Lytechinus pictus: one gene and its partners. The main gene of each other region encodes a partner of the protein of the gene in region 2 in a complex. Links are inferred from orthologs where the notes say so. Each region holds a gene or a part of one and is shown on either strand. Other genes may lie near its edges.

Region 1 (7,637 bases), on a different chromosome or scaffold from region 2:
TTTTACTAAATAAATCAATAGGCCCTATCCCTCTTCAGTATCCATTGCTTTATTTTGACGATTCCTAATTTACTAAATAAATCAGAATTGCATCTACTTATTTTCAATCTCTATTGCTTTATTCCGTAAACTATACTTTTCATATAAATAAATCAGGATTATATTCATCTTTTATGTTTCTCACAATATAAAATTTGCTTTATTTTGTCTACGTTTTTACTAAATAAATCAATAGGCCCTATCCCTCTTCAGTCTCTATTGCTTTAGTTCGTTGATTCCTAATTTACTAAATAAATCAGGACTGCATCTACTTCTTTTCAATCTGCTTTATTTCGTAAACTAGCACTTTTCATATAAATAAATCAGGATTATATTCATCTTTTTATGTTTCTCACAATATAAAATTTGCTTTATTTCGTCGATTCCTAATTTACTAAATCAATCAGAATTGCATCTTCTTCTTTTCAATCTCTATTGCTTTATTTCGTAAACTAGCACTTTTCATATAAATAAATCAGGATTATATTAATCTTTTTATGTTTCTCATAATATAAAATTTGCTTTATTTCATCGATTCCTAATTTACTAAATAAATCAGAATTGCATCTACTTCTTTTCGATCTCTATTGCTTAATTTCGTAAACTAGCACTTTTCATATAAACAAATCAGGATTATATTATTTTTCTCACAATATAAAATTTGCTTTATTTCGTCTACGTTTTTACTAAATAAATCAATAGGCCCTATCCCTCTTCAGTCTCCATTGCTTTATTTCGTTGATTCCTAATTTACTAAATAAATCAGGATTGCATCTACTTCTTTTTCAGTCCTTATAGCTTTATTTTGTTGTACTTTTTATGCTAAATAAATCTCTTTTCATATATATGTTTCTTATGATTATGCTTTATTTCGTCTATCACGTTTTTACTAAAAAATATAAATCAAATTGCATCTCCCTCTTAACAGTCTCCATTGCTTTATTCCTCGTGCTCCGAGTTCCCTCCCGGTGTTTAATAGAGTACTGTCCAATTTCTCATAGGAGGGGACTTGGATAACGAGGAGTACTTTTACTCGTCATCCAAGTCCCCTCTCCTAAAAATACAAAACGGCAATTAACCCGTTGATATTCATCTACCCCTCATTTCCCTCCTCTTCAAAACCACTCTGCCACTTTTAGACAGTTTCCTAGAGATGATAAATGAATATTTTTGATAAGAATCATTAAAATTAATGAAAATCACATCAAAAACTCTATTTAACTGTCTAATTACTCCTCGTGATCCGAGTTCCCTCCCCGTGTTGAAGTACTGTCCAATTTCTCATAGGAGGGGACTTGGATAACGAGGAGTACTTTTACTCATCATCCAAGTCCCCTCTCCTTAAAATACAAAACGGCAATTAACCCGTTGATATTCATCTACCCCTCATTTCCCTCCTCTTCAAAACCACTCTGCCACTTTTAGACAGTTTCCTAGAGATGATAAATGAATATTTTTTATAAGAATCATTAAAATTAATGAAAATCACATTAAAAACTCTATTTAACTGTCTAATTACTCCTCGTGATCCGAGTCCCCTTCCCGTGTTAAGACTGTCCAATTTCTCATACAGGAGGGGACTTGGATAACGAGGAGTACTATTACTCGTGATCCAAGTACCGTCTCCTAAAAATAAAAAAAACGGCAATTAACCTGTTGATATTCATCTACCCCTCATTTCCCTCCTCTTCAAAACCACTCTTCGACAGTTTCCTAGAGATGATAAGATGATGAGTTCTGGTCTGAGTGGCATTATGTTCACGCATGGGAATAGTGCCTTTTTCATTTCAATACATTGGCACAGCACATTGCACAAATAGCACAGACTCAGTTTTCGAACTTATCCAAGCTAGGAAGACAACAAGTCACTTGACTGCAGGAACAACTCTATTTTTCCAGTAGATGCGGTATAAAGGTATAAATGAATATTTTCGATAAGAATCATTAAAATCAATGAAAATCACATTAAAAACGCTATTTAACTGTCTTATTACTCCTCGTGATCCGAGTCCCCTTCCCGTGTTGAGACTGCCAATTTCCCATAGGAGGGGACTCGGATAACGAGTAATATGCTATCACTCATTATCCGAGTCCCCTCCTATGAGAATTTTGTAGTCTCAACATGGGAAGGGGACTCGGATCACGAGGAGTAATTAGACAGTTAAATAGTGTTTTTAGTGTGATTAATTTTGTTTTATTTAGTGTTTTTTATCATTGTTTCAACTTGGAAGAATATATACAGCCATAGCATAGGACTAGGTCTAGGAGAGAAAAGAAAGACTATTTTTGTCGTTTGAAAGTGTCAGGGTCAGTTGTTATTGTGTCAATGGGAAAACGTGTGGTGGAAGTCCCTGTTCAGTGAGAAGCTTCGCACCGTTTCGCATCGCGAATAGATTTCTTTTGAAATTGAAAATCTTCCAACCGTGGATTCCATTTATTTATTTGAAAGATTGCTGATATTTGAGATGTTTCTCAAGTTTGTCCCCAGTGACTTGGATGACGATAAGGCCTGTAAATTTATCTTTATTATTTCTTCCCTTTTAATACCCCGTCAAAGAGCAAAATTGGGCGCGCCAGCGCAGCGCCTGATCCCTGAGCCCTGGCCCGAGGCTGAGCTACTCAGGCTCAGCTAGCTCCACATGACATGCACAGCCGCGCAAGCGGGCCCAGCCCGGCCCGCGGAGCTCCAGCACGACAACGTCAACGGTCCGAGGCGCACGGGCAAAACTGTCGACTTGTCTTTCGGCTAAACTCAGTAGATCTTTATTTAAGTCCATTATTCAAAGACACATTCTCGCAGAAGTCATAGGAAAGAACATATTCTAAGTTATTAGAGAAAACCTACCTGTTATCCCTTACGCCAACACCATGAAATTGGGGAGATTTCCCAGGAAGTAGGCCTTTCTACCTGCTTGTTTACGTTGTTTCCAAGCTCTTCCAAACGAAGGCTCGATCAGTATTAGTATGTAAAAAAATAACAAGAGTCCATATGAATATCAATCTTGTTAGTAAATTACTTTTATTAATATAACATAAAATTTAAATAAATATTTTAGTTATTTTCATATCAAAATCATTTATATCAATAATATCTGAATTCAGATAATTTTACTATAGATTTGGCCTTTTTCTCCTCTGTTTCTCATACGAGTGGTAATGCACATTTTTACATGAAAATTCACACCTTCATACCCCCTAATATATTATTATACGTTCAAAGAATGAACTTTACTAGTTAGCTTTTTTATTTTACTTAAATGTCATATGTTCTACCATTTATGATTGCGCATTGAGAAGTAGATTTTGACCGATTGTGTGGAGAATACCCCCATGTCCCATCAACTCCTGTATGCGTTAGTACATGGACCATGGTCGACGTCATACGGGATTCTGTGAAGTGTGATGACGTTCATTCATTGCGTTTCCAAGAATCCCAAGTCGAACATCCAAGTTGGCAAATTCGACGGGGGGGGGGGGGGGGTGTCAGGAGGCATGGCATTTTGGCTCTAATAGTATTGTTTCTCACCAGCCGACTTTGTCGATAAAATTTCCTCACCACGCACCAGAAAATAAATGCAGAATTCAGAAATTGTAAGCAAAAAGTGCCGCAACAGTGCAGTAGCCACTGCAGTGACGGCCAACGGTGCATGGGCCTGGCAAGTCTCTCTGACTTTCTTTCGTCTCTGTCTGTCTCACTCAGTCACAGTCACATTTCAAGGTCAATAAGTTATGACAAAGACAATAATAAATAATAAAATATGCCCACTGCTTTTCAATATTGAAATCCGGAAAGGCTGTAACTAAGTGTAAGCTAGCCTAGCCTGTTATTGTGTAATTTGCCTTTACTTTAGTTTTTGTCTTCGAACTCGATGCGATGTCATTGTTCAAATTCTCAGTCAGATATGGTCATCGTTTATAAATATAGGCCCAAATGTGCTCCCAGCCATGCCAGCGTTCTTGCAAGGATTATTCTTACGCGTGTCGGAAACGTGCCGATTCGGTGGTGGCCAATTTTGCACGTGATGTTTTGATTTTCACATGCGCTTTAAATGATCCAAAGTCAAGTTTCATTGCCAATTCAATGTAGGCCTAATGTTTTAATCGGCGGCGCACACCAATACCTAAAATTGATATTGGCAAAAATATTGAAATGTTAAGTTGTTAATCTAAAAAATTTGGGGTCTTTTTGTCTGGAAAAATTAAAATATATTTGATATACCTCTCGTTGTGGACTCCCGTTCTCCAAGAAGAAATGTAAATCACCCATTAAAAACAAATAAAACAAAATACTAGTCACAAACATCTCAGATTAATGTACGATCTATCAGGACATGTTTTAACATTGTTTTGAGGTGTTGATGAGTTGAAATGTATGTGATATACCTTTCGTTGTGGACTCCCGTTCTCCGAGAAGAAATATAACTCGCGCAATATTCTGACAACGGCGGAAAAGAAAATAGAAGTCACAAACATCTCAGATTTCTTTGTTTTGATTTTCAGCTTATTTGGCCTTCCTCTGTACAAAAAGTATGGGAGCTCTTTCTATTTCAGACTTTTTCAACACTCTTCAGCTTTTTTCAGATCTTTTTATTTGTGACCACTCACACCCCTGAAAATCAGATGTAAAATAAGAAAGTTATGACATTTTTAAGTTTTGCTTTATTTCATATAACAGTTATATGCACATCCTGATCGGTATGCAAATGAGGAGACTGATGACGTCATCCACTCACTATTTCTTTTGTATTTTATTGCATGAAATATGAAATGTTCTAATTTTCTCCTGATTTTCAAGTGAAACAACGATTTATTCCCCCTGAACATGTGGATTAAGCATTGTTCAATACTATATGGTTCAGTCAAGTCGGTCCTTGTTTTTAAAATCTGTAAAAAATGAAACAACATATTATTCAAACAATAAAAAACAAAAGAAATAATGAGGGACATCATCGACTGTCTCATTTACATGTCACCGAGTTGTGCATATCAATGTTTTGTGAAAAATAAGCGAAACTTTAAAATGCCATAACTTTTTTATTTTACATCTGATTTTCATGAAATTTCACTGTTATGCTGGTTTGATTTTTTTCTATTTATTCAAATCAACATTTTTCTGGGGTGGACTTGACCTTTAAGCAAATTTCCCCACAATTTGCCCACCGCTTAATAAACGTCATCGTTTAAATTCTCAGACCGAACTAGAGGTGCTGGTCAGAAAATTGGGATCGTCCCAGTTTTCAGGGACTGTCTGGGTTTTCAAAGATTTCTCCACACAAGAAATTTATTTGTGTTCATTCACCTGTCAAGTGCTGACGCCAATTAAGTGCGCTAGTCAATGTAAACATATCCAGTTTCATTGGAAGATGGCAGACGGTGAACCAAGGGGAATTGAGGTCACTGAATCTAGTTTTGAGCACTCTCAATTAGAGCTCTGCATGTACATTGCACCATTGTATCGGCACAAGTTTGAATCTTACTCTTCAGAATACTGAGGCACACATGCGACAGATATGAAATAATGGCTCAATTAAATGTGTATTTTTGTTCCTTTTACATACAGAGTTATTGGCTGGAGTTGGCAAGATGGTAGCATCCAAAAGGTCAGTGTCAGTTTCCAAATTTCTGATGAGTTCCTTTCAAATTGTGAAGGCAGCAAGAACCTGTTTCCCTATCATTTTGTTTTATTTTAGTGAGCCCTTAGACATGCTCTCTTATGGAATATTGTGTACTCTATCTAAATGGGGTTAGTTAAAATGCAAGTATTTTCAACAGGCAACAGTGATAAGAGGGTAGATTGGGCTAGTCGTAATAATTGAGATGCGCAGAGTACGGTAATCATACTAAAGCTCGCATAAGGCAACTTTCAACAAGTCAAATGATTAAAATCAATTGCCCAAGTTAAAGCTGTATTCTACTGCGTATTTCAGAAGATACCTATGGTCCCAAGGCAGACATTTGTACATCACATTTTGGTATTTAAATTTTCTCTCTGTGTGACTTTACTTGTACTGTGCACAATTGTTGCTAACCAATCGCAGCTACCTTGAATTTAACTTGGAGCATAATTGATTGTTAAGTCTTGTGTGACTTGGTCTATGTGCAACACAGGTTATACAGCAGGGCAGTTTTCACGGGTTACAGGAGAGGACTCCGCAACCAGCATGAAAACCAAGCTCTTCTCAAGCTAGAGGGAGTAGAATCCAGAAGGGAAGCCACCTGGTATCTTGGCAAGAAGTGTGCCTACGTCTACAAGTGCAAGAAGTAAGTTCAATAGGATACTTCCAGAGATGCCATCTGGGGATTTTTTTTTTAATGAAAAATTGCAAGTTCCATGGAAATACCTTTTCCACAAAGTTGAATTGTATTATTCACAATGTCCTCGTACTGAAAATTAAAAATAATGTTTTTCTACCCTCAAACTATTGCAATTCATTTGACAAGGTTGGCATCTCAGTACTCAAGATGCAAGTGCTACAGAGCTGGTGTCATTGTCAGGAGCAGAATTTTCTTGTGACAGAGAGCAGTTGCAGGATTATAAGATATATTTGAAAAAATAGAAATGATTTTTGTCAGCCATGAATTGGGGAAATATTACCCAGTGAAAATTGCTTTTCTCAGTGCAGTAGTTGAATGGGGGAAAGTAGGCGTATTACAAAACTTGCTTGACTTTAGGTTTTATACAAGAATATTCCATGCAAAGTCTCATGATTTAATGCTCAATCTTTCAAAGTATGTGCAATGTAAAATGAATCAAGCAGTTAATATCGAAAGTCAATCATTAGCAGACCAAGCCTGGAGCATGTTTTAATGTAATCTGTGCCAGTATGTCTGGGAGAAGTAAGGAAGGGATATTGGTATAGACTGTTGAACCAGAAGTTACTCTGAACTGTATGAGCATGATACAGGGTGTTCGTTTGTGTATAAAAACCATGAGATGGAATAATTTTGCTTTACAAATTCGAGTAGCATTTTTGGTCATAAGAGAAAAGCTCTCAACTAAGTAATGTACAGTCCTTGTAAAAATATGCTATACAAAAGACTTTATGCATGGCAGTCTTTAAAAAATGTGGAGCGAATTGCGATGCGATACCAGGAAAATTATTCCCCTGTGAGACCTGGTAGAGTCCAGGTTTTAGAGAAACTATTGAAAACCCTTTTTAAAAAGTAAGACGATCCTAAGCTTGGTTGAATTTTTCTTGTTCGCCTTTTTTTTTTATCACATTCCATGACAAATCACAATGTGCGAGTCAATTAACTGTTTGTAAATTCTGTAAGACTCAATTTGTGACTACACTCTCCCTTTGATTTCTTCGCAGCAAGACGAAGTGTCCCGGCAAGGACAAGCCAACCAACACCCGTGTGATCTGGGGTAAGATCATCAAGACACACGGTAAGAGTGGCGGCTGCAGGGCCAAGTTCAAGAGCAACCTTCCCGGCCAGGCTATCGGCAAGAGGATTAGGGTGGTAAGTAGCTAGGAGATTTGTTTAAAAAGGGGGCAAGTCCTTGTATGAGTTACAACCTTCAGTTTGATTTCAAATCTTCAGTATGATTGCCGACTGATATATTTATTGTCTTGCCTGCAGCATCAGCAACACCA
Region 2 (7,392 bases):
ATGATATGGAACTCTTTCCCAAATTCACCTATTGACTTTTTGGACAAATATCTACAGCACTAATCAGGGGCCCGTTTCTCAACACCGTCATAAGTCTAACTTCTTGACTAAATCGGAGATAGTGAGCTACTTGTCCGCTAACCGAGTCATTTTTTGTTTGCTCCGGCCGTCGCGCCGATGCGCTATGCACGCACCGCATGCACAGACGGTATGCGCTGGCCGGGTGAGCGTTGCACAAGCAGATGATGGAGCAAATTTCGTTTGTATTTTCCATCATCACAAAACACAAAAAAGGCCGGGTACCAATGCAGAATTCTTCCCAAAATATCTCTAACAATGATATTTGCAGATGACAACATATAAGTTTAAAATGAAACAATATTAAAGACATGAATCACGCAGAGTCGATCCGAATGATTTTCGGTCAACTAGCACTCGCAGTCCAGACTCGCACACACCAGCCCCGTCCCAAGCCCGGCCCCATACACTCACTCTCCCGAAACGACAGGCGTGCTTGCCAGCGCCAGCAAACAAGTGCGACCAGCGGAGAGCGCTGTAACTTGCCTGAGATCCAAAATGAGCTCCAAATAAATTGATGGTAATAAATACGTAATTTTCTGTGGATGGTCATTTGAATTGGTATTCAATGCTGATATAACGATTGTGAGGAAATATTGTGGAATATGAGTTATGACAATGTTCGAGAATTAATCCTGATAATCCATTTATTTTAGAGTCAGACACAATAGCATGCGATCGAAATAAATACGAATGTCTCGGATCGAGCTCTAAATTCATATAAATTATTGTTGGTCTTTGGATGTTAAATAATTACGATTTAATAAGATTTTATGGCCATACTAAAAATAATGACAATGTCAGCAAAGTATGTTATGTTCATATGGAAGAATTAATAGTATTATACTGGCAGTATCTTTATTTTTATTCCATCTCTGGACGACGTCTCCGAGCTCCGAGAAAAGAAGCACAATGCGCATGCGCGTTCGATGACGTATGACATATTTTCCATTCATGAAATCAGAGCCCAAAGTTGGGCACAAACTAGCTTCAAATTGATGGGTAAAAATATCAAACACAATTTTCTCTGTTTTGTCATGTAAAATGTTATTATATGGTGATATTACGATCTTGAAAAGAGTTTCTGCATGTTGACAATGTTCGAGAATCAATCCTGACGTGATAATTATTTTTTTAGACAAGTGCACTCACTCAAGTCGATAGTCATGTGACGTCCGTGAATTGAAAATTGATACGAAATACAAACGTTTCACATCAAGCTCTAAATTCATATTAATGATTATCATATGCGAATTATTGTTAATTATTACGATTAAATCGTGTTCTAAGGTCATGATATTAATATTGTTCATGAAAGCAAGATTTATTTTACGTTGATCGCGCCAATTTTCCAGCCATTTTCTGGTTTGATTAAAGCACAGTACTGCGCATGCACGATCGATGGCGATGACTTTCATTCATGAATTCATCGTGCATAAATTATCTCGGCACGAGCAGACGAGTAAGACTCGAACTATGATCGAAATAAACTTCAAATTAATGGTGAATAGGCATCATAATTACACAATGGGTTTCATTTTGAGGGCAATATAAATCAAGTAAGTAGTAGTCAAGTTGGACATTACTGTTATTTTGATTTTTGATGATTGATTGTGTGAACCAAATGAATCGGCCGGCCGACGTATTTTATTTTTTATTTTTTCGATGCACCGATTTTGCAAAATCTGCACCGGCGCTCGATGACATCGATCGAACACCAATTTTAAAATCGATTCGACTCGGGCTTAATGGTAATACAAAGAAACTATAAAAACTGTTGGTAAACGCCACAAAACCATTCATTTAGAAATAGTAAAATGATTTAATCGATAAAGATTCTACCACGTCAGGCCATCCATAACTGAACTCGTATTTGTTGTTTTCAGACCCTATTAACAGTTGGATGAATTCTATCTCTAATTTATGCATATAATTTGTCCAATATCGTATCTTTCAGTATCAATGATTAAAAATGTTTCGTTAAACTATATTTTGATGACGTTTTGGAATCGTAAAAGTCCGTATAATTATCATCATTTTACAAAGAAAACCGTTATGGTTTACTTTCGCAAACTATTAAAATTGGGTCTCCAGGGGGTACCCATCTCAACGTCCACAAGTGATTTTTTAATTTTAGTCATGAAATGAATTATTCATAATTTGATTTTCTCTGCAATTGTATGCTCCAGTCTTCATGGTCTAAGTATGCATGATGCATAATTCACCTGTGCTATTATTTTGAACATATTTATTTCCCAATTCATCATAATATTTGCAATTTTTTCATAATTTTTCTTTTTGAAAATTATGCTATTTTGCGACTAAAAACTAAGCTAAGGCTACGTCTCGTCTGCTCTTTTTACCGATAGTATCGATATCAAGAAGGTATTCTACTTCTCTAGTTAGGAAGCCTTTCGAGAAACAGGTTTATATAGTAAGATTGGAACTAACTCCGTGGTCAGGTGGTTGGTGGATAAAGATATGACTAACTAGTAACTTGTCCATGTGTTGAGAAACGGGCCCCTGGGGCCCGTTTCTCAACACATGGACAAGTTAGTCTTATCTTTATCCACCAACCACGGAGTTAATTCCAATCTTACTAAACCTGTTTCTCGAAAGGCTTCCTAACTTAGCATACCTTGATATCGATATTATCGTTAAAAAGAGCAGACGAGACGTAGCCTTAGTCACAAAATAGCATAATTTTTGAAAAGCAAAAATGTGATAAAACTGCAATTATTGTGATTAATTTGGAAATACATCTAATAAAAATAATAGCAGAGGCAAAATATGAACCATGCATACTTAAACCATGAAGACTTGAGCATCTAATTGCTGAGAAAATCAAATTATGAATATATCATTTCATGACTAAAAAATCACATGGGGACAATGAGATGGGTATCCCCGGGATAGTAAATTTTGATAGTTTACGAAAGTAAACCACAATTGTTATGTTTGTAAAATAATGATAATTATACGTTTATTTATGGTTCCAAACATCATCAAAATATAGTTTAAATTAATTTTTTTAAATTTTTTTACATACCGAAACACACGATTTGACAAATTCTTTGCATAAATTAGAGATAGAATTTATCAAAAATGTTGATAAGTGTTTGAAAACGACGAATACGAGTCCAGTTATGGATGACCTGCCGTGGTAGAATCTTTATCGATTCAATTACTTTACTATTTTAAAATGAGTGGTTTTGTTGCGTTTTACCAACAGTTTTGATAGTTTCTGTGCATAACAATTACTATTGAATGATCTATCACACCTGTTTTGCAATGTAATTTCAACTTCTATGAATGATTACGTAAGATTACAATTTTCAAATTTCGAGGCAATTTTGCATGTCATAGTCTACCCACGTGATGCCACTACGTCATTAAGAAAGAAGTTATGACAGGTTCGGAGGTGTCATAAATATTTAGTGAGGTTGTTGTACCCGATCTTGGTAAAGAGGGCTTCGTGAAACGGTTAGCGGACAAGTAGCTCACTATCTCCGATTTAGTCAAGAAGTTAGACTTATGTTGTTGAGAAACGGGCCCCTGGTGCCGGGCGTTGCCTACCCTACCTACGGCCTATGGCTATGCCGGCCGGCCGCGCCAGCTAGCCTACGGCTACGCTAGCTAACTTCGGCCGCTAACTACGGCGCGCTACGAAAGCTGTGCGTACATGTATTTACATACAGTACCGTATGGGTACTAGTATTCAACCCGGCATAATTCGAAGATTTTGACATATTCCCCAAAATATTTAGAAATAGGGAATTTATCTTAATTTCATACCTTTGTTATTTCCAGGGTAATCTGTTGTCGATATTTTCTTTGTCAAGCTGTCGACTGTGCGCGCGGAGGATCGAATTATGCGGCGATGGCCTTTTGCACTGAATGGTACTAGTATTCAACCTAGTGAGGATTGATAGCAAATCTCAAAAGGGTTTAGATTGCTAAATTAGATCTAGATCTATGTAAGTCTCTGGCTTTGATTAATTCCCTGTTTGGTCTCATCTCAAATGGTCTAGTCCATAGTCGGATGGGACAAGGGCAGATTGAGAGACAGGGCCATCTTTCATCGCTAGGTTGAATACTAGTACCGACGGGTTGAATATTAGTACCAAAAACCGTCGCCGTATAATTCGATCGCCCGCGCACATAGTCAACTGGTTGAAGAAAAAAATAACGGAAAAAGAATAACCAGCATTTGCTCTTGGAAATAAAACGGGTCTGAAATTCAGGTAAATTCTATATTTCTATATATTTGAGGAAACTCTCCAAACGGGTTGAATACTAGTGCCCTTACGGTACATGGATAGAAAGGTGTGGGACAATGCAAGAAAATGAATGACCAAACTTCTTAGTTTACTGCACGGATAAAACAAGTTCAAACAAACTTCGAAACTTATTATTTTAAACTTGGCTTAAATTAAGCACCACGGCCCACCACAAACCAAATTGAATGTTAAGAATCCATGTAAAGGTAAATCTTACTTGCTTTTTCAAAATGACCGGCGGCAGAGTCAGAGTGGATTTTCTTTCGTTTTAGATCGGCCATATGAATATTCAAATTTTCATCTTGCGCATGCGCATTTCCAATTAGTTGTCACAGCAACCTGTATCAACAACGTAATTTTTTGGCAGGTAAGTAACAGAAATATTGTTAAAATATGAGACGTCCATTCTTATTATCAACTAGATTTCATTATTATTTAAGAGCGATGTGTGTTCATCTCCAGTCATAATATTGTGTGAGCAGGAAGAAAAAGAACATAAAAGTGGACCGTAGTATTTGTCTGCTTCGGACGAAATGCGGATACGGTACTGGATGAACCTCCACACAATCAAAAACTCCGCCGCCGCTGCGCTGGGGGGCTTGAGTGTCGTTGTGCGCTCTGTCCACCTCGGGCTGGTGGTGGTATGACTATGAAACTGAAAAAGCCGAAGGGGGGGGGGGGGGGGTCTACGCACCTAACTAAAACTTGAACTGAAGATTAAACATCGATTTCTTTAAAATTCTACAAAAATTGAAGTTGATATTGTATACCCAGTTGTTGTGTGTCCGGACGATCAATTTTAGAAAGTCATTTGGAAAAATTTACAAGCGAAGTTTCATCAATTTTTAGTACAAAATGTTAGGAAATATTAATAGAGAACAAAATAGAAGATGATTACAACGATTGAATTCGTATTTTTAGTGTAATCCAAAGAAAAAAAAGAAGGCTTCAAAAATATAAAGTGTCCGGACACCCGACCCCCCAAACTACCTTTATAATGTTTATTCTAATCTTCTTTCCTCCAAAGTGTCTCTCCTTTTCATTTTCAGATTGAAAAAAAAAGGTTCCTCTGGGCCGGCTCCGGCCATGGCATATATACTAGCCTAGGCTATCTGCGCACCCATTTTCACTTGGGGGGGGGGGGGGAGGTTGCATGAGGCCATGAGATGCCGTGGTCTAAGGCACCTGGCGCAGGAAAGTCTGGAGTTCAATCCCCTGGCCCTGCCACAGCATGCACTAGTGCTCTTTTAATTTTATCCTGCATTCAAATAAATGTTAGATAAAAATTATTTAAGCATTAACTAGGTGTGCACTAGACAGCTGGCAGCCGTCTGTTTCGAGGCGTTTTTTAACATTATTTTGTTTAAATTTCTCCTTGTACACAGACCGCTCGCTATCGTGCAGCCACCATTAGATGATTAACAATGCAAAATCCCCCCGACGGGGCACATCGATTTTTGTCTTTATTTCATAAAAATATACAAAAAGAACTGTACCAAAATAAAGATTATTATTCCATTTTGGCCTGAAATGCACCAACATGGGGAAAAATAAACTTAAAAGGGGAAAAAACAGTGACTTACTTCGGCTGTCGCGCAACTTCACTTCCCTGTTTTATCCGAACTTAATACATAAACATATGACCATTGAGTCCCCTGTACAGATCGCGCTAGAACTTCAGTCTCTGTATTTGGTGAGTGGAGCCAACGGAGTTCAGCGGAACAACCAACATAACAGAGACCGAAGCTTTTGGTCTAGGTGTGCACTTGTTTAAAAAAATAACAATAATAACATGAAATAGCTAAGATTCAATATTATTTCACAATTTTGACCTATTTTTAATGAATATCTGATTATGTTTTGCAGGTATAGATCTAAACTTTGTGGACGTTGTGTGTCTTTGACTTTGACTATGTAATTTACGCAGATATGCATATGGACAGACAAACATAAACAAGGGGCACTGTCAGACTTGGGGTACCATGCTGTAAATGATAAGGGTGGCTGATGGAAGTGTAGAAAATAGAATGCGTAATCTGTTAAGTGGGAAAATCACTCCTTTTTTTTTCTATTACAAACTTATGGAATCACATCGCTACTATCACATGATGTCACGTGTTTTAGGCCAGGGCAATTCCATAAAATGATCAACCTTTTTGTACATCCCACCCCCATTTTTCTCAAGTCTTACTTCACTTCATAAGCTGACCAAGTTATGGTCCTTTGAGAACTTTACAGACTGTCAAAAGATCAAGAAATCAGAGACAGACAATTTAATTAAGGTCTCGGGGGTCGGACGTACATATTTTATGAAATTTCCCGCCAGTGAAAGACACAAAGAAGCTTATTTTTTGAAGCCCAGTATATGGGGTTTTTCTTAACCTAAATAAGCAGCTGGTAAGGATAGATCTTTCATTGCTGTGTTCAGTAGCTTTTCAGCTTTTGATTGGAATATGATTAGGAAATTTCACTATTTGGGTCAAGTCTAGGTCTTTAAAAGAGGACTTCAGATAAAACAAGCCCAGGCTATAATTTTTAATCCTTTGTTTTCTTTTTTTATTTCTTCATTTCAGATTGTTTTTATATGACGACAACAACAACATTGTCATAATGACAACAGAACCACCTCTCTCAGATCAGCCGTCCTCAGCAGGGGGGAAAGGAGATGCAAATGCAAATAATAATGCTACAAGCAATGTCAATAACAATGCTAATAGTGCAAAGAGGGGAGGGAGGAGTGCAAAGCGGTCTATACCATCACCCATTACTAGTGCTAAGACTAATCCGGCAGCTGACAATCGTAATATGAGACGCATTATTGCAGAGGATCCTGATTGGTCACTGGCCACTGTACCTCTCCTGACAGAGCTTTGTGTAACACATATTGTTACTAATTTTGCAGGTACTTACGCAAGTCAACATTGCATCGCTTACTTTTGCTCTCAAGCACCTTGTATGTAAAACAAATTTTAGTATTCATTGTAGCAGTATAGCTGGGCTGGATCCAGGGTTGAATTATTGAGGGAGCACAGAA
Region 3 (6,988 bases), on a different chromosome or scaffold from region 2:
ATTGACCTTAACTGACCTTTGACTTGGTTTTGTGACCTGAAACTCACAGGGGATGTTCAGTGAAGCTTGATTACTCTTATATCCCAAGTTTTATGAACTAGATCCATAAACTTTCAGAGTTAGGATAGTAATTCAACAAAATACCCCCAACACGGCCAAAGTTCATTGACCTTTAATGACCTTTGACCATGGTCATGTGACCTGAAACTCGTACAGGATGTTCAGTGATACTTGATTACTCTTATGTCCAAGTTTTATGAACTAGATCCATAAACTTTCAGAGTTAGGATGGTAATTTAACATATACGCCCAACACGGCCAAAGTTCATTGACCTTAAATGACCATTGACCATGGTCATGTGACCTGAAACTCACACAGGATATTCAGTGGTACTTGATTAACCTAATGTCCAAGTTTCATGAACTAAATCCATAAATTTTCAAAGTTATGATGGTAATTCAACAAATACCCCCAACTTGGCCAAAGTTCATTGACCCTAAATGACCTTTGACCTTGGTCATTTGACCTGAAACTCAGGCAGGATGTTCACTAATACTTGATTAACCTTATGTCCAAGTTTCATGGACTAGATCCATAAATTTTAAAAGTTATGATAGTAATTCAACAAATGCCCCCAACTTGACCAAAGTTCATTGACCCTAAATGACCTTTGACCTTGGTCACGTGACCTGAAACTCGAGCAGGATGTTCACTAATACTTGATTAACCTTATGCCCAAGTTTCATGAACTAGGTCCATATACTTTTTAAGTTATGATGTCATTTCAAAAACTTAACCTTCGGTTAAGATTTTGAAAATAATTTTCCCAACATGGTCTAAGTTCATTGACCCTAAATGACCTTTGACCTTGGTCATGTGACCTGAAACTCAGGCAGGATGTTCAGTAATACTTGATTAACCTTATGTCCAAGTTTCATGAACTAGGTCCATATACTTTCTAAGTTATGATGTCATTTCAAAAACTTAACCTTAGGTTAAGATTTGATGTTGACGCCGCCGCCGCCGCCGTCGGAAAAGCGGCGCCTATAGTCTCGCTCTGCTATGCAGGCGAGACAAAAATGAAATAATCAGTAAATCTACCATAATTGTTAGATCTTTCTTTACTCATTACATGCATAAAATTTATTGGCACCGAGTATTGAGTCTATAGATCTATCCAATTGATTTACTCTTTACCATTTCCAAAATTAGCATGACAAGTATTCATATCAGTATAACATATGATCATCAGGTTCCATGACATTTTCTCCAGCGACGATTGCTCCATTCTAAATTCCACTCACTAATCTAATTCATGACCAACTTCAACCCTGGGAATAACGCTATACCTTATCCTAAACCTAACATAAAACCCTATTGCGAACCTACCCCTAATCCTACATCTTAGACGAAATTAAGCCCGCAGCTAATGTGGTGTCACCAATCATCAATATAATCATAAAAAGAAAAAGTTTAACAATAAAAAATAACAATTTCTAACTACAATCAAACTCCCGACACAACCATCAGAGAGTGACAAATGTTAAAAGATTAAGCCTATCAAGTAGCATCTACATGTATAGCCCAAATCATTTTTATTATTTATTCAGCCATAAAGACTTACAAATCATCATACAATACAACTTGAGTAATTATATGTCTACTAGACATGTAAAATTACAGAAAAGAAAAACAGAGTAAAAATGGTTCTCCATGGGCCAGGGTTTAAAAAATGGCAAATTATGCGAATTGCGCACAACCCGTGTGCAATATGCTTTCGCGATTTCCATTTTGGATTCGACGGTGAATTAATACGTGTGGGGTACTGCGAACCGGCTTCAAATCACCAATTTTGAGACTTTTTCAAGAAAGGGCAAGGAGTGAGTCTGTGTCCATTAGTAAGTTTAGCCACTGTAGATTATGTCTAGATGCCTTTTCAACCATTTAGAATTTGAGTCAGATTTTGGAATATCTGTATATATATATGTATTGCAGGTTAATGTTATTTTCTTAGAACGGTAAAGATACACATATACAGACACACTCACACGTATTGCGAGGTTAGTATTAGTAATAGTATACTAAACTCGCACCATGAACCGCATTTGGCAGTGGATTTCTAACCAGTGGGTCGCGTGTGCTGCGACCCAACTTCTGGTGTCCACAACACACAACTTCTATGGCTTGATTTTTCTGTGCGTGGCGGCATGTAATGACCTTGAGTGTGATACAGACAAAGCACTGCATTCTGAGCCAGGGAAAAATATTACGCAGGGGTTGGGGGCGATTTAGCCCCAGGCCAAAAATGGTCAAAAGAGCCCTGGAACTAGTCGATTGGCATGGAATTTTGACTTTGTCATCATGATATCAGCGAAACCCTTGACTTACTTTATAATTACCTCGCCCTCAAGTGATTTTTAATCTAGGATCTTGCCTTCCGTTTGGTATTAATGATTTTTATTCATTTTGTGTGAACTGAGTATGAATGATTCTATGAATGTGAAATTTTTTTGATTGAATAATAAAAAAAAATGATTTTTTAAATGTGTGCATGTTGTTACCACATTTAATTTAGGTAAAATAATTTGTTCCAAATCAATACGTATCACACACATATCAACAAATCCAAACGTTGAATTTTGAAATAAAATCATGATAAACTTCAAATATCAAAATGGGCAAATCGGCTGATGCGCGTGCTGCAGGCAGATTCTCAGCCTACCGACAGCCAACAGCCTGCCTGGGCTGTCCGCCTAGCAACTTGGTAGAGTCCGCATCAACTAGATAAATCCTGCTGCCATCATTACTTTTAACTTAATACACAAAATCGTTCAATAAATCGCACAACAGAACAAAATGTAAGTTAAGAAACATAATAATGGATCAATTTAACAACTCACCATTTTGAATTGTAGATATCTAGTTCTCTTTCGGCTGAAAAATACGACAGTTTCTTGTGCCTAACTCTTGACTGTTTGTTGTTGATCATAGAAACCAATGCAAAATAACCCGGATGTTAAAAAAAGGAATTCCGCGTGCGCCATCTATTGTGAAATACATTATAGTTTGGCAAAGCTGAGGCCTGTGGTGGGGACAACTCGTACTCATGCAAAGACAAAATATTAAACAAAAACAAACAGCAAAATAATAAAGAGGTAGATCAGAGATGGAACGGAACGGAGAGGGGGGGGGGGGGGGGGTTAACATTAACATGCAAAAAGAAAATCAAATTTTTATGGTAATTTACTAATTTTCACGTTTTTGTACATGTTAATATTATTGAATAAGGTTGAGGAGAGGACCAGAAGCAACCAGCCCCCCACCCCTTCCCACCGGTTACACTGTTCCTCGATTATAAAGTACAGAGTTTGAACATAAGCAGAGAGACGATTAGAAAGTTCAGAATCTTAAAATTTACACAAACTTTTAATCACGTCTTGGTGAAAGTATACTGCATTTTAGAGGAGCAGGGGGGCAGTCAAATGTATTGCTGTACACACGCGTGACCCCAAAAACGCGTTTAAAGGGGTAGTTTTTTTTCAGTTTTGGACGCGGGCCACGCGATTAAAAAAAAAAAAAAAGGGGGGGGGGGTAGTTTTGAAAGACTGGTCAATCGCAGGGTCTAACGTATTTAGGGTATGTTTTTTTCAAAGCTTTTTTTAAAGACTATTGAAACGTGTTTAGGGCATGCATGTTTTTTCCCCCAAGCTTTTTCCCTGCGGTCATATTCTGGCGACAACTTGTTTAGGGGTCAAAATGTGTAAATAAATCCCGCGAAAAACTTGTTTAGGGGGTTATTTTGCACACAGAGAAAAAAATGTTTAGGGGGTGTTTGGTAATAATTTGGCCACGCGTGTGTACAGCAATTCATTTGACTGCCCCCCCCCCCCCCCCCGGGCATAATTATGCTGATGAATCAATTCGATAGACAGCAGTCTGTAATAAAAGACTGCATCAGATCAACAACAGGTTTTGGATGGTTAAAATACAGGGAAAGAAAATGAAGCGAGTGAGTACTGGCAGCGTGCTAACAATGTTTTTTTTTAATCTAAATTCATGTGGGCTATAATTTGCCACTAAAACTCTTTAAAATGAGGGCAAACAAAAGAAATAAGGAAGGTAGTACAAACAAAAAAGTCCAAGATAAAGTTGAGAAGAGAAGGAGAAAGAAAGGAGAGAAAGGAAAGTAAAAAAAAGAGAACATAGAGAAAGACGGAGAGAATACGAAATATTATATTTATTCTTTCTTCTCTTCTTTGTTTTATTTTACCTTTTTGTTCTATTTTTTTTTCAATTTTTTTCTTCTACCGTCTACCATTTCATTTTTTATTTTTCCTATAGATTTATCTTCATGGGAGGGGATTCACCTCCTGTGCATCAATTTCCCCTTCACTGCATATTTGACATTCTAAGCTTTTCCTCCTCGTTTCTGAAAAGTGTCACTGAAGTGTCCCTCTTTATTATGAAGCAACATCTTTCTTTTTTTTAATAAATATTTTTCTTCCCTTCCCAATCATGCCCCACTTCTCTCCCTTTCCCTTTCCTTCCATTTCCCTTTCCTCGAATCCATGCATATTTGACATTCTAAGCAATTTTTACAATCCTCAACAATTAACTTGAGTACGAAACTTCCCGAGCTGAAATCTTCGATACTCTGACATGAAAATGAACCCCTATTAAGGACTCTCTGCAGTGACCCATAAGGATGATACATATCTCACTCAAATTGAATGGATGTACAGTAAGTACCATATTTTGATAATGCGACCTGAAAACTTGACATTCTTCAGCCTTTTTTTTTTACTACTACTACTAGTACTACTACGACTAAATACTACTATACTATACTATACTACTACTATACTACTACTACTACTACTACTATACCACACTACTACTATACTACTATACTACTACTACTTCTACTACTACCACTACTATGGGGGCTAGTCAAATATATATATCTGTACCAAAAACCGATTGAAAAAAAGTGGTTTTGAAATACTGGTCATGGTCAATCGCGGGGTCAATGTAGGTATTTTGTATGTTTTTTTTTTTCCAAAGTTTTTATTTACGACGACCCAAACGTAGTAACGTACTTAGGGTATGTTTTCCCCCAAACTTAGTCCCCGAGGCTTTTCCTCCTCGTTTCTGAAAAGTGTCACTGAAGTGTCCCTCTTTATTATGAAGCAACATCTTTCTTTTTTTTAATAAATATTTTTCTTCCCTTCCCAATCATGCCCCACTTCTCTCCCTTTCCCTTTCCTTCCATTTCCCTTTCCTCGAATCCATGCATATTTGACATTCTAAGCAATTTTTACAATCCTCAACAATTAACTTGAGTACGAAACTTCCCGAGCTGAAATCTTCGATACTCTGACATGAAAATGAACCCCTATTAAGGACTCTCTGCAGTGACCCATAAGGATGATACATATCTCACTCAAATTGAATGGATGTACAGTAAGTACCATATTTTGATAATGCGACCTGAAAACTTGACATTCTTCAGCCTTTTTTTTTATCATTAAAAAAAACCGTTTCTCAGTATACATAAACAGCGCTAAGCGCGAGATGATGTTTTTAGATTGCATCGGATGTCTGGTTTTTTTTTGGAAAAAAAATGGACATTAAATCTGATTCTATGCACTTTTTTCAATCACAAAAGCTTGTCATTTGCTCATCAAATAATGCAAGCGCAAAGCGCGAGCTGTGAATTTTTGATATTCCTACAAATAAAGAACATGCAAGCTGTGTATCTCAGTAGACAATTAATGCGAGCGCGAAGCGCGAGCCGATATTTTGTTATATTACATAGGTTATGTAGATTCGAATCAGTGATAGGTCAATACACCATCACGTGACCATAACTGCGAGGATCGCATTTGTTATATTCTAGGTTTTGACGTCACCTCAGGGAATATACTGCGTTGTATTGTCAATTGCGGCGTTATATTCACTAAGGTGACGTCACTCGCTGCATACAAGTTGCGTAACAAGGTAGTTATTGATGTACGCGCTAATGTTAACGCGTCGATTGCATGAAGTACGCGCTTGATGTATTTAAAAAAAAAATATATTATGACGTAGATGGATTAGAGCTGTAGCAAGAATTTCGGGTTTGAGCCAGATGATGAATGCAATTCTGATGGCGAATCCACATAGACTATATAATATAACAGATATTGCCTGGTCTATCGTTTTAATAAATAACATTTCAACTCCCCTCCGAAGCTATAATTTTCCCTCGGGATAATATTTTCCCTCAGCGCTGCGCGCTTCGGGCAAAATATAATCCCTTGGGAAAAATATAACTCCGTCAGGTAGAGGAAATGTTATATTCAAACTCTAGGTAGGCAATATCTGTATAATATAGTACCGAAAGGGAACATTTAATCACTGTTCAACATTGAAATGAGGTAAATTTTGAAGAGGATATGGATTTCACTAAAATGATGCGAACGCACGATGTGCGAGCTGGAACTATTTGGTGATTAAAATTTAACGACTTACCACTACTACCACTGCTACCATACTGCTCTTAATTCTGTTACTATATATACTACTACAACAACTACTACTACTACTACTCTACTACTATACTACTACTACTACTACTACTACTACTACTACTACTACTACTACTACTACTATACTATACTACTATACTACTACTACTACTACTACTACTACTACTACTACTAGTACTACTACGACTAAATACTACTATACTATACTATACTACTACTATACTACTACTACTACTACTACTATACCACACTACTACTATACTACTATACTACTACTACTTCTACTACTACCACTACTATGGGGGCTAGTCAAATATATATATCTGTACCAAAAACCGATTGAAAAAAAGTGGTTTTGAAATACTGGTCATGGTCAATCGCGGGGTCAATGTAGGTATTTTGTATGTTTTTTTTTTTCCAAAGTTTTTATTTACGACGACCCAAACGTAGTAACGTA
Region 4 (7,739 bases), about 18 Mb from region 2:
AGTCAAAGAATCAGCAAAACATCTGAAGGTGCTCACCAAGTCTACAGAAGGATCAAGGGGTTCAAAAGTGATATAGTCAGAAACGAATTCTGCACAGCCGTCATAGTCATAAAGTTCCTGGTATGGTAGTGTTGTGGGTCTGATTGTGGTACAGACAAACTTTTCTACCCCACACTCATTTAGAGGGCACAGAAGAAGTGGTTTGCGGTCTCTGTAAAGATGAACATACTGTCGTCGGAAGTTTTCTGCATAAGCCAACACCAGCTTCTCTTTGTTGTCATTCTCCCTGTAAGTTAGAGGGTAGCTTTGCAGAGGAAGGTCTGAAGGAGTCCTGTAGGATTTTAAGAAAAAAATTGAATAAACATAAATTCTTGAATTCACAAAGGAGATAGAGTGGACTTCTGAAACTTTTTCAATGGAAAATTCCAAAATCCTTCATATAGTGAGTGATAGTATTAATGACCCGCCTTGCATTTAAGACTGTGAGTGCTACTGTATGCATCAGAAAATAATTTCAGATACTTTAAAGATAGAACTTCGCAACATCCTTCCAAGGGAGTTTAAATAAAAAGATGGAAAATGGTCAAAAAGTACATTTTCAAATTCTTTATTTATTTTCCGCTAGCATAGCGGATAGAGGTCTTGACAGCAGCTACATTGGTTTTGTTAGAGTCCCAAGCAAGGTAAGAAACACTAAAAAAAAAAGACAGGCCTGACAAAAGTTAGAGAAATATGAAGTGAACAAACCTGAACTTCTGAAGACAAGTCTCGACAATTGTCATTTTGGGTGGTAGGTGCATGGAACCTCAATGTTCGGCGGCCTTACTTCAATATTAAATTGATTATGGGGAAAAAGTTCCATATGCACCCCCACCAAAAATAACAAAAGATTGTTGAGACTTCCGGTTCGTTCACTTCAGATTTTTCTATCAATTTTTCACTCTTGCTTACCTTAGTTGGGACTCACCTCATTTTATCTGCAGTCTAGACCTCTTCCCACTATACTAGTGAGAAGCGCTGATACTGAAAGGGGTATTTTAATGATTATCAGCCAATAGGTTGACTAGTCTAGACTCACAGACCCTTCACTGACTAAATAAACCAATGTCTATGGACAATTACATGCACTAGATCCTGCTCAAAATTTGACGGAATAAAGCCATATTTTGGTATGTATTTCCACTCCTCCATCATATATATTCTATATTATTAGGTCTAGATATTAGGGAGACCGCAATATATTTCTATCTCATCATCCACTTCATTGGACTGTCTGATCTTTTTCAGATCTTGATGAAAATAGTTCAAAATAGAAATCTACCAAATTTCATAGTAATCCATGAATCGGTTTTAGAGTAATAATAAAATGAATTTTGAATGAAATTCAGCCAAATGCTCCCAATACTAGGCTCTGACTGTAGACTGTAGTATAATTTGTCACAACACACACGCAGCTGAAACACACGACCACACACAGAGTGCAGATATTTTGTGTGCAGTTTTGCATTTGGTCTTTCTACTTTAATTCTAAAGTGATAGAGGAAGGGTATTTTGAAATTAATTCTGACACTTGATCCTAAAGGAAATGTGAAAAATGAGTACCGTACTTCCATTGGATTTGCAATTATTACAAAAACCCACCAGTTTACAAAATATGGTTTACAAAATATGGTAGGCCTATAGCCTAATAGGCCTACATTTATTCACAAGATACAAAACTCTGAACTTCTTTTTTTATTGCCACATCAAAATTATGGCAGTAACCCAACGACATGTAAACTAAGGCATGTTGTAAGGAGGTTATTTGGAATTGGAGTACCGGTACCGGGTATTTATTCTCTTTAATTTGATACCAAAATCATTAAATTTGGATAACGGGATCATGTCAGAAATGCATTGAACTTTGATTTTTTCCTCAAAACTATGACCATTTTTGGCTGTGTGAATGCGGTGAAAAGGCTTTTCACCGCATGATCCCATTATCCAAATTTAATGATTTTGGTCAAAAGGGTGAAATTTTTTGCTCTGTGTGCATTCACCTTTAGTCCCTTCTCCACGTTTTTATTTTCAATTTTAGTGGGGGTGCATATGGAACTCTTGCCGATTATGGTTTAATTTGTATTCATTGTTAAGTCTAAATGTTAACCCTTTTCATACAAATGCAATTCATCCTTACATGTCTATTTTAGGAGGTTCTAAAACAATCTGGTCAAGCTCGTCTTTCAACTCGCCGACTGCTGCCAAAGCATCAGCTGGAATCTCATTCTCTGTGCCAGTTCCCTCTTCTAAAATTGTCCCATCATCAACTCCACTGTCAACAACTATAGATGGACCATCTCCTACTCCTTCCATGACAGAAATTTCTCAGGAAATTACCCTCTAAAAGTTACTGATTTGTTTAATATTTTAAGAAAAATGGAAAGGTCGAATTGACATTTGTTTTGAACGCTAGCTCTGCACGACATCACGGTCTAGTCTGACGTCTACTCACAGCTTATTGTATACAGATATCCCTGCACCATAGCAACAACGTATAATATAGTTCTTTATCCAGGCTCAAATATTGAGAAATTTTGAACTAAAGGAAATCCGAAAAACAATATTCAAAGGATTATTGAAATAAAAACGCATAATTAAACGATTTTAATGTTGATTTAATACTTTAATATGCGCGGAGGAATAACATATTTTGTGAAACACAAACTATATTACAGACAGATCGTTGATGGCAGTATATTTTTCATTCAGACAATATGGCAGCGCCCATGGCCATAGCATCAACACGCTGGCAGTGTTTTTCATTGAATCCCGGCTTCATTAAGTTCTGATATTTTCAGTGATAGATCATTGATTATATCGAATTTTGAGTTTCGTGAGTTATTCAGCCAACATTTTATGAAACCGTTATCTTTGTTTTTAGAAAAAAGGATCCTATATTATCAGTAACTGAAGCTAAAGCCTAAGCACACAAAAATGTCGATGTCGCATGAGTTCCCGTGTGTGTGGCGAATAGAGAAAAGGATTGCGCAATCACTCGGAAATGAAAACATCGGGGAGTTGGTGGAGGACAGTGAGTTGGAGCTCTGTGAAGAATGGATAAGGGAATTTGTCCCCAATGACATCGATCTGGACAAAGAGGGTAATGATTGGCCTAGTTATCCGAATTCCCTAGATAAATAATTAATTGGGAAGGAAGTCCATATTTAACATATTTAACAAGAGATGGCCTTGCGTTTTATGTTGGGCCCGCAAATACACTCATTCAATGAACAAGGTTATGATGCGCAAATACATGAAATAGGTGGTAACTGGTATTGTTACATTTGCATGACAAGCACAGACATGATTAATGTTATAAAACTTGAAATACATGTGCTACATGGGTATATTTGGTATCACATTAAAGGAAATCTTTATACCAATTACTTTAAAGATTAAAGGAATACACGAGATTACTTCATTTACCAGTAATTAGCAATTATGTAACATCAATTGGCCTTTTTTGCATGGTGGGTCAAATTAGTTTAAAGGATACCTAATTAAGCTAAATAATAGTATAAGTAATTGATGTCAATCATGAAATTAACACGATTGAAATTGTGGCTGTCTGATGTAAAGAAAATGAGGAGAGATAAAGTATAGTTGTGGGTTACACCTTAAATAAAATTTAGAAGCTGCAAAAATTTCAAAGGGAAAAGCACAAACTAAAGACTTCAGAGAGAAATCAATTTATTGTTAATTATGACCTCATGGTTTCAATTTTGACAGTTTAGACTGACAGTGATGACTTCAATGTGTTCGAATCTTCAGATTATTCTGGTAACATAAACACCAGTACACCTTTTATGCAATTTTGATTGCTGAAAACTTGTTTGGAGCAATAAAGACCTCATCTGATCTATTTTTTAACTCTTTTTTTCTTAATGTTACATCACACTGCGTCTATGAATCAGTAGATGACACATTTGGCTGGCACAAAAGTGTTCAGAGAATATTTTTCCCAATTATCAAAAACCTACTTGAGAACGACACTGGTACAAAGATAACTCTAAACAGAAGCAATTGTACCCATAGAATGTGTTTTGTATTGGCATTTGGTATCACATTAAAGGAAATCTTTATACCAATTACTTTAAAGATTAAAGGAATACACGAGATTACTTCATTTACCAGTACCAGTACGACCAAGAGACCATGTCCTGCAAGAGGATATATTTAAAATACATACATGGGCATTTTCACCACAGATGGACACAGAGGCAAAAAAATCAAGTTGATATTCATGTCAAATGCTTTATGTTTTTTAATAATACAAGACCTGAAGTTTCTGAGACAAAAAAATTTTCCGACTCTGGCAGCCATTTTTTATTTCAAAATGGCTGCCAATATATGGATACAAATTAGTGTTGAAAATAGTATATTGATACATAATTTGTTTTGACAGATTTTTAAAGAACAGGTTTGATCATGATGTTTTCGCCTGTGATTTAGCTTGCTATTATAACACTTTTTAAAATCCCACAGAAAGAAACACCAGTAATTCATTCATCTGATAAAAAAACATTGATGAAATATGTGATATGGTATGTAATGTCAGTTACCGAAAACATTAACTTTTTTTTCTCATTTCCTGGAAAAGAGGATATATTATATGAAACTTGGTGGATTTCCTCTCTAGGTAACACCCCTCCCTTCTACACCAAAATTAAAGATTACCAATTAACAATGAAGCCATAGCGTACCATTGAATATATGTAATGTCAGTTACCAAGTGGAAAATGTAATGTCAGTTACCGATATGTAATGTCAGTTACCATGATAAAACGTTGGTTACCAATATTGAAATGCAAATATGTGGTCAATTTTATGGTGAAGAAATATTGTATACTTGTTATTCAAGTCTTTCACTTTAATAGACTGGGCTATTTCAACGCCTAAGAAGACTGGGGGGGGGGCTGATTCAGCCCCCCCTTATGATCTCGGCCGTCGATTGCGCGATCACGACAAAAATTGGCACGCGCATTACCCATGGCATTATCTACAAAACTATAAAATCAAATTTTGCGAAAAATTTCATTGCTCATTAATTATGCTAATTTATGCGTAAAATCATAAGTTTGCTCTAATTAATAAAATAATGCACCTAAAATGCTTATTTTTGTTTCACATACTCTAGATAGGCATCTGATCAAATTTATTTTTCAAAATTTTCAACATTACATTTATTTTCTTATGTATTCTATTGTTTTCTAAATTTCTTATGTATCTCCTTGTTTTTCGACTTTTTGTTTTTTATTGTTTTTTCAATGGAAATCGTCAGGGACTTTATTTTGACCATAAAAAAGATAAAATTTATTTATTTTAAGCAGTAAAAGTAAAAATAATGATACATTTATGAATTTTGGCTAAAAACACCATTTGCATTGGATTTGTACACAAATTCACGTTTTTGAGTAATTTTAGGTCTGCATGCACTTACGAAATGTTGTGTAATTTTGGAACCGCGTACCCGGGGGTCACAATTTTGGTCTCAAAAGTTGCGCGAGACTTGAAAGTAAAAAGTCAGCGAGTGACCCGGTCAAAAAAATTGGCACGGCGGATTTATCGCGAAAAATGTCGAGGGTGGGGGCTGAATCAGCCCCCCCCCCCAGTCTTTTTAGGGTTAAAAGTCACACCAGAAGGAGCTTGCTATTGTATTGCCTAAATCTGCAGTATTTTTTAAGCTTAACATTGTGATGAAGGGGATTTCCCGGGTCGCTTTTTTAGTTTCTAGGATTCTTTTGAGCATTGCCTCGCTAAAAGTAAATTTCTGGTTTTTATGCCTGTTAGTAGTGTGGATGTGTGATACAATTTTTGTTTTTGGTTCATAAGTATAGAGGAAAAGTGAAATTTGACAGTTCTGATCAATGTTGCATGGATCTACTAAAACTTTTTTTTTTTCTAATTTACAAATAGTTCAGTTTCAGTTTAGAAGCTGGAGTTTATTTTTTGTTGACAGCTTAAAAAAGAAATTAGCAAAGAAAATGATTAAACAAATTATGAAGAGAATAGAAATCCGACAGATATGAACAAGCATTGCTTGCACTGACCAGAATAGAAATCAATAAAACTACATGGCTGCATGAGATTCGGGGGAGGGGTACGTGTAGCCTAGGGGAGGAGACCCTTATTCATTTTGCCTTTTTTGAGGGGAGGGGGAGGTTGGAGAAGGAAAAGGTTTAAAAAGTCGATATAAAACTGATGAATATATTATGGGTGTATAGTCCGAAAAATCCATGTGTACAGTCAATGCAATATTAAATTACTATAGCAAAACATGTAGCTGCTATGACCCCCCCCCCCCCCCCCCCGAGTAAGTAAAACATAAATTTCTTATCTTTTGATAATTAAAAATGTGAATTATTATGAAACTTTTATGATTTTAAAAAGCCTCACATATAAGTACCAAGAAAATTATGCCTTTGAAAATAATATAGCACTGGTAAATGTCAATGTGCATTGTCAGTTACTGACAAATTTGATAAAAATGTTCAAATCAAAGAATGGAATTAAGAAAAAGAAAAATAAAATTCATTGAAATGTTCCTAGAAACTCGGGTATACTTCCACACCAAGCTCACTTTCATGTGAAGCACTGCACAGAAGATACAATGCAATGATTCCACACATTTGACTTCCATGTGTTATCTCTATGGCAAATTAAGTGTAATGTCAGTTACCGTAATGTCAGTTACCAGCATGGTTGCGGAAAAATTATCATAGCCCTCAAAAGACAAAAACTAATTGTCTAATATTTTGACACATCTTAACCTAGTAACGGAGGTATATTTACATATTCAAATTATTACTCTATCTACTCAGGGACATGAGATATTTCAATTTCAATGAACACCCTAAAATTGCATGTCCTTTTTCGTAATGTCAGTTACCGACACATTTTTGCTTGCTGATGCGTAAAAAAATGTGGTTACATAGAAAAACTTAGTATCAGAGTATACAGCAAGGTTCACTTTATTAACTCTATCAAAAGCAAACTCCCATCATTTGTTGTTTTAGAGATACACACAATGAAAGGTGTGAAAACATTGTGCCATGTAATGTCAGTTACCGTGAAAATGCCCACATGTATAACACTATAAAATAACATAATCAAAGTATTTTTGCCAGGTGATAGATAAATGGATTTATTTATAACATGTTAGTTGTTTTTGTTCACACTAAGTTTAAGCTAAACCAGTTATGAGAAGTTTTCATTGTGCATTCATATCTTTTCTATATTTATGTTAAACCTGACTCTCAGTTGTCAACCTTTGGTCCACTGATCTTTGAGCCAAGAGATGACAAATCCCACGATTTGAGTCAAATAAAATAATTTTTTATTCATAATAACCACAGTAAATATATTATAATATACTGGTTAGTGTTTGCAAACTGTATTTATGCAACTACAGGCAAGACTACATAATATTTTTGGGGTAAATCAAGTATTGTTACATATTTACCCGAAAAATTGTGATGTAAAATTTTGTCTTAAAAGATGATCGCTTAAAATTATTTTGGTAAAAGTTATCCCTAACAAGTTATATATCATTGGAAAGGCCTCACTCTAAAGAGTTGAAATATGCATGTTATTTTCATATAGGGTGTAAAGTTTTTCTGATTTTAAGATTTATTGGGAAGTATATGTTTTCACAGTTTTTCACATATTTTGACCTTTAACTTTTTATGACATTACCCTAT

What was found.
Region 1: dynein regulatory complex subunit 5-like (region 2) and dynein regulatory complex protein 9-like share a complex: the UniProt entries of both Homo sapiens proteins name them as parts of the nexin-dynein regulatory complex. The link is inferred for Lytechinus pictus from reciprocal best matches to the Homo sapiens genes DRC5 and DRC9.
Region 3: dynein regulatory complex subunit 5-like (region 2) and dynein regulatory complex subunit 4-like share a complex: the UniProt entries of both Homo sapiens proteins name them as parts of the nexin-dynein regulatory complex. The link is inferred for Lytechinus pictus from reciprocal best matches to the Homo sapiens genes DRC5 and DRC4.
Region 4: dynein regulatory complex subunit 5-like (region 2) and dynein regulatory complex subunit 7-like share a complex: the UniProt entries of both Homo sapiens proteins name them as parts of the nexin-dynein regulatory complex. The link is inferred for Lytechinus pictus from reciprocal best matches to the Homo sapiens genes DRC5 and DRC7.

Annotation. Positions count from the first base shown.
Region 1 is NC_087260.1:6,704,316-6,711,952, forward strand, and holds the start of dynein regulatory complex protein 9-like, read right to left. Parts: upstream 3,001-7,637; 5' UTR 2,885-3,000; intron 1-2,884. Other genes in the region: large ribosomal subunit protein eL33-like, read left to right, coding at 5,623-5,639, 6,148-6,300, 7,356-7,503. UniProt on the Homo sapiens protein: Component of the nexin-dynein regulatory complex (N-DRC), a key regulator of ciliary/flagellar motility which maintains the alignment and integrity of the distal axoneme and regulates microtubule sliding in motile axonemes.
Region 2 is NC_087251.1:6,709,596-6,716,987, reverse strand, and holds the start of dynein regulatory complex subunit 5-like, read left to right. Parts: upstream 1-4,384; 5' UTR 4,385-4,725; intron 4,726-6,931; 5' UTR 6,932-6,968; coding exon 6,969-7,260; intron 7,261-7,392. UniProt on the Homo sapiens protein: Component of the nexin-dynein regulatory complex (N-DRC) a key regulator of ciliary/flagellar motility which maintains the alignment and integrity of the distal axoneme and regulates microtubule sliding in motile axonemes.
Region 3 is NC_087246.1:38,474,940-38,481,927, reverse strand, and holds the start of dynein regulatory complex subunit 4-like, read right to left. Parts: upstream 3,020-6,988; 5' UTR 2,905-3,019; coding exon 2,902-2,904; intron 1-2,901. UniProt on the Homo sapiens protein: Component of the nexin-dynein regulatory complex (N-DRC), a key regulator of ciliary/flagellar motility which maintains the alignment and integrity of the distal axoneme and regulates microtubule sliding in motile axonemes.
Region 4 is NC_087251.1:24,802,637-24,810,375, reverse strand, and holds the start of dynein regulatory complex subunit 7-like, read right to left. Parts: upstream 2,974-7,739; 5' UTR 2,353-2,973; coding exon 2,177-2,352; intron 332-2,176; coding exon 37-331; intron 1-36. Other genes in the region: tetratricopeptide repeat protein 27-like, read left to right, coding at 2,974-3,139. UniProt on the Homo sapiens protein: Component of the nexin-dynein regulatory complex (N-DRC) a key regulator of ciliary/flagellar motility which maintains the alignment and integrity of the distal axoneme and regulates microtubule sliding in motile axonemes.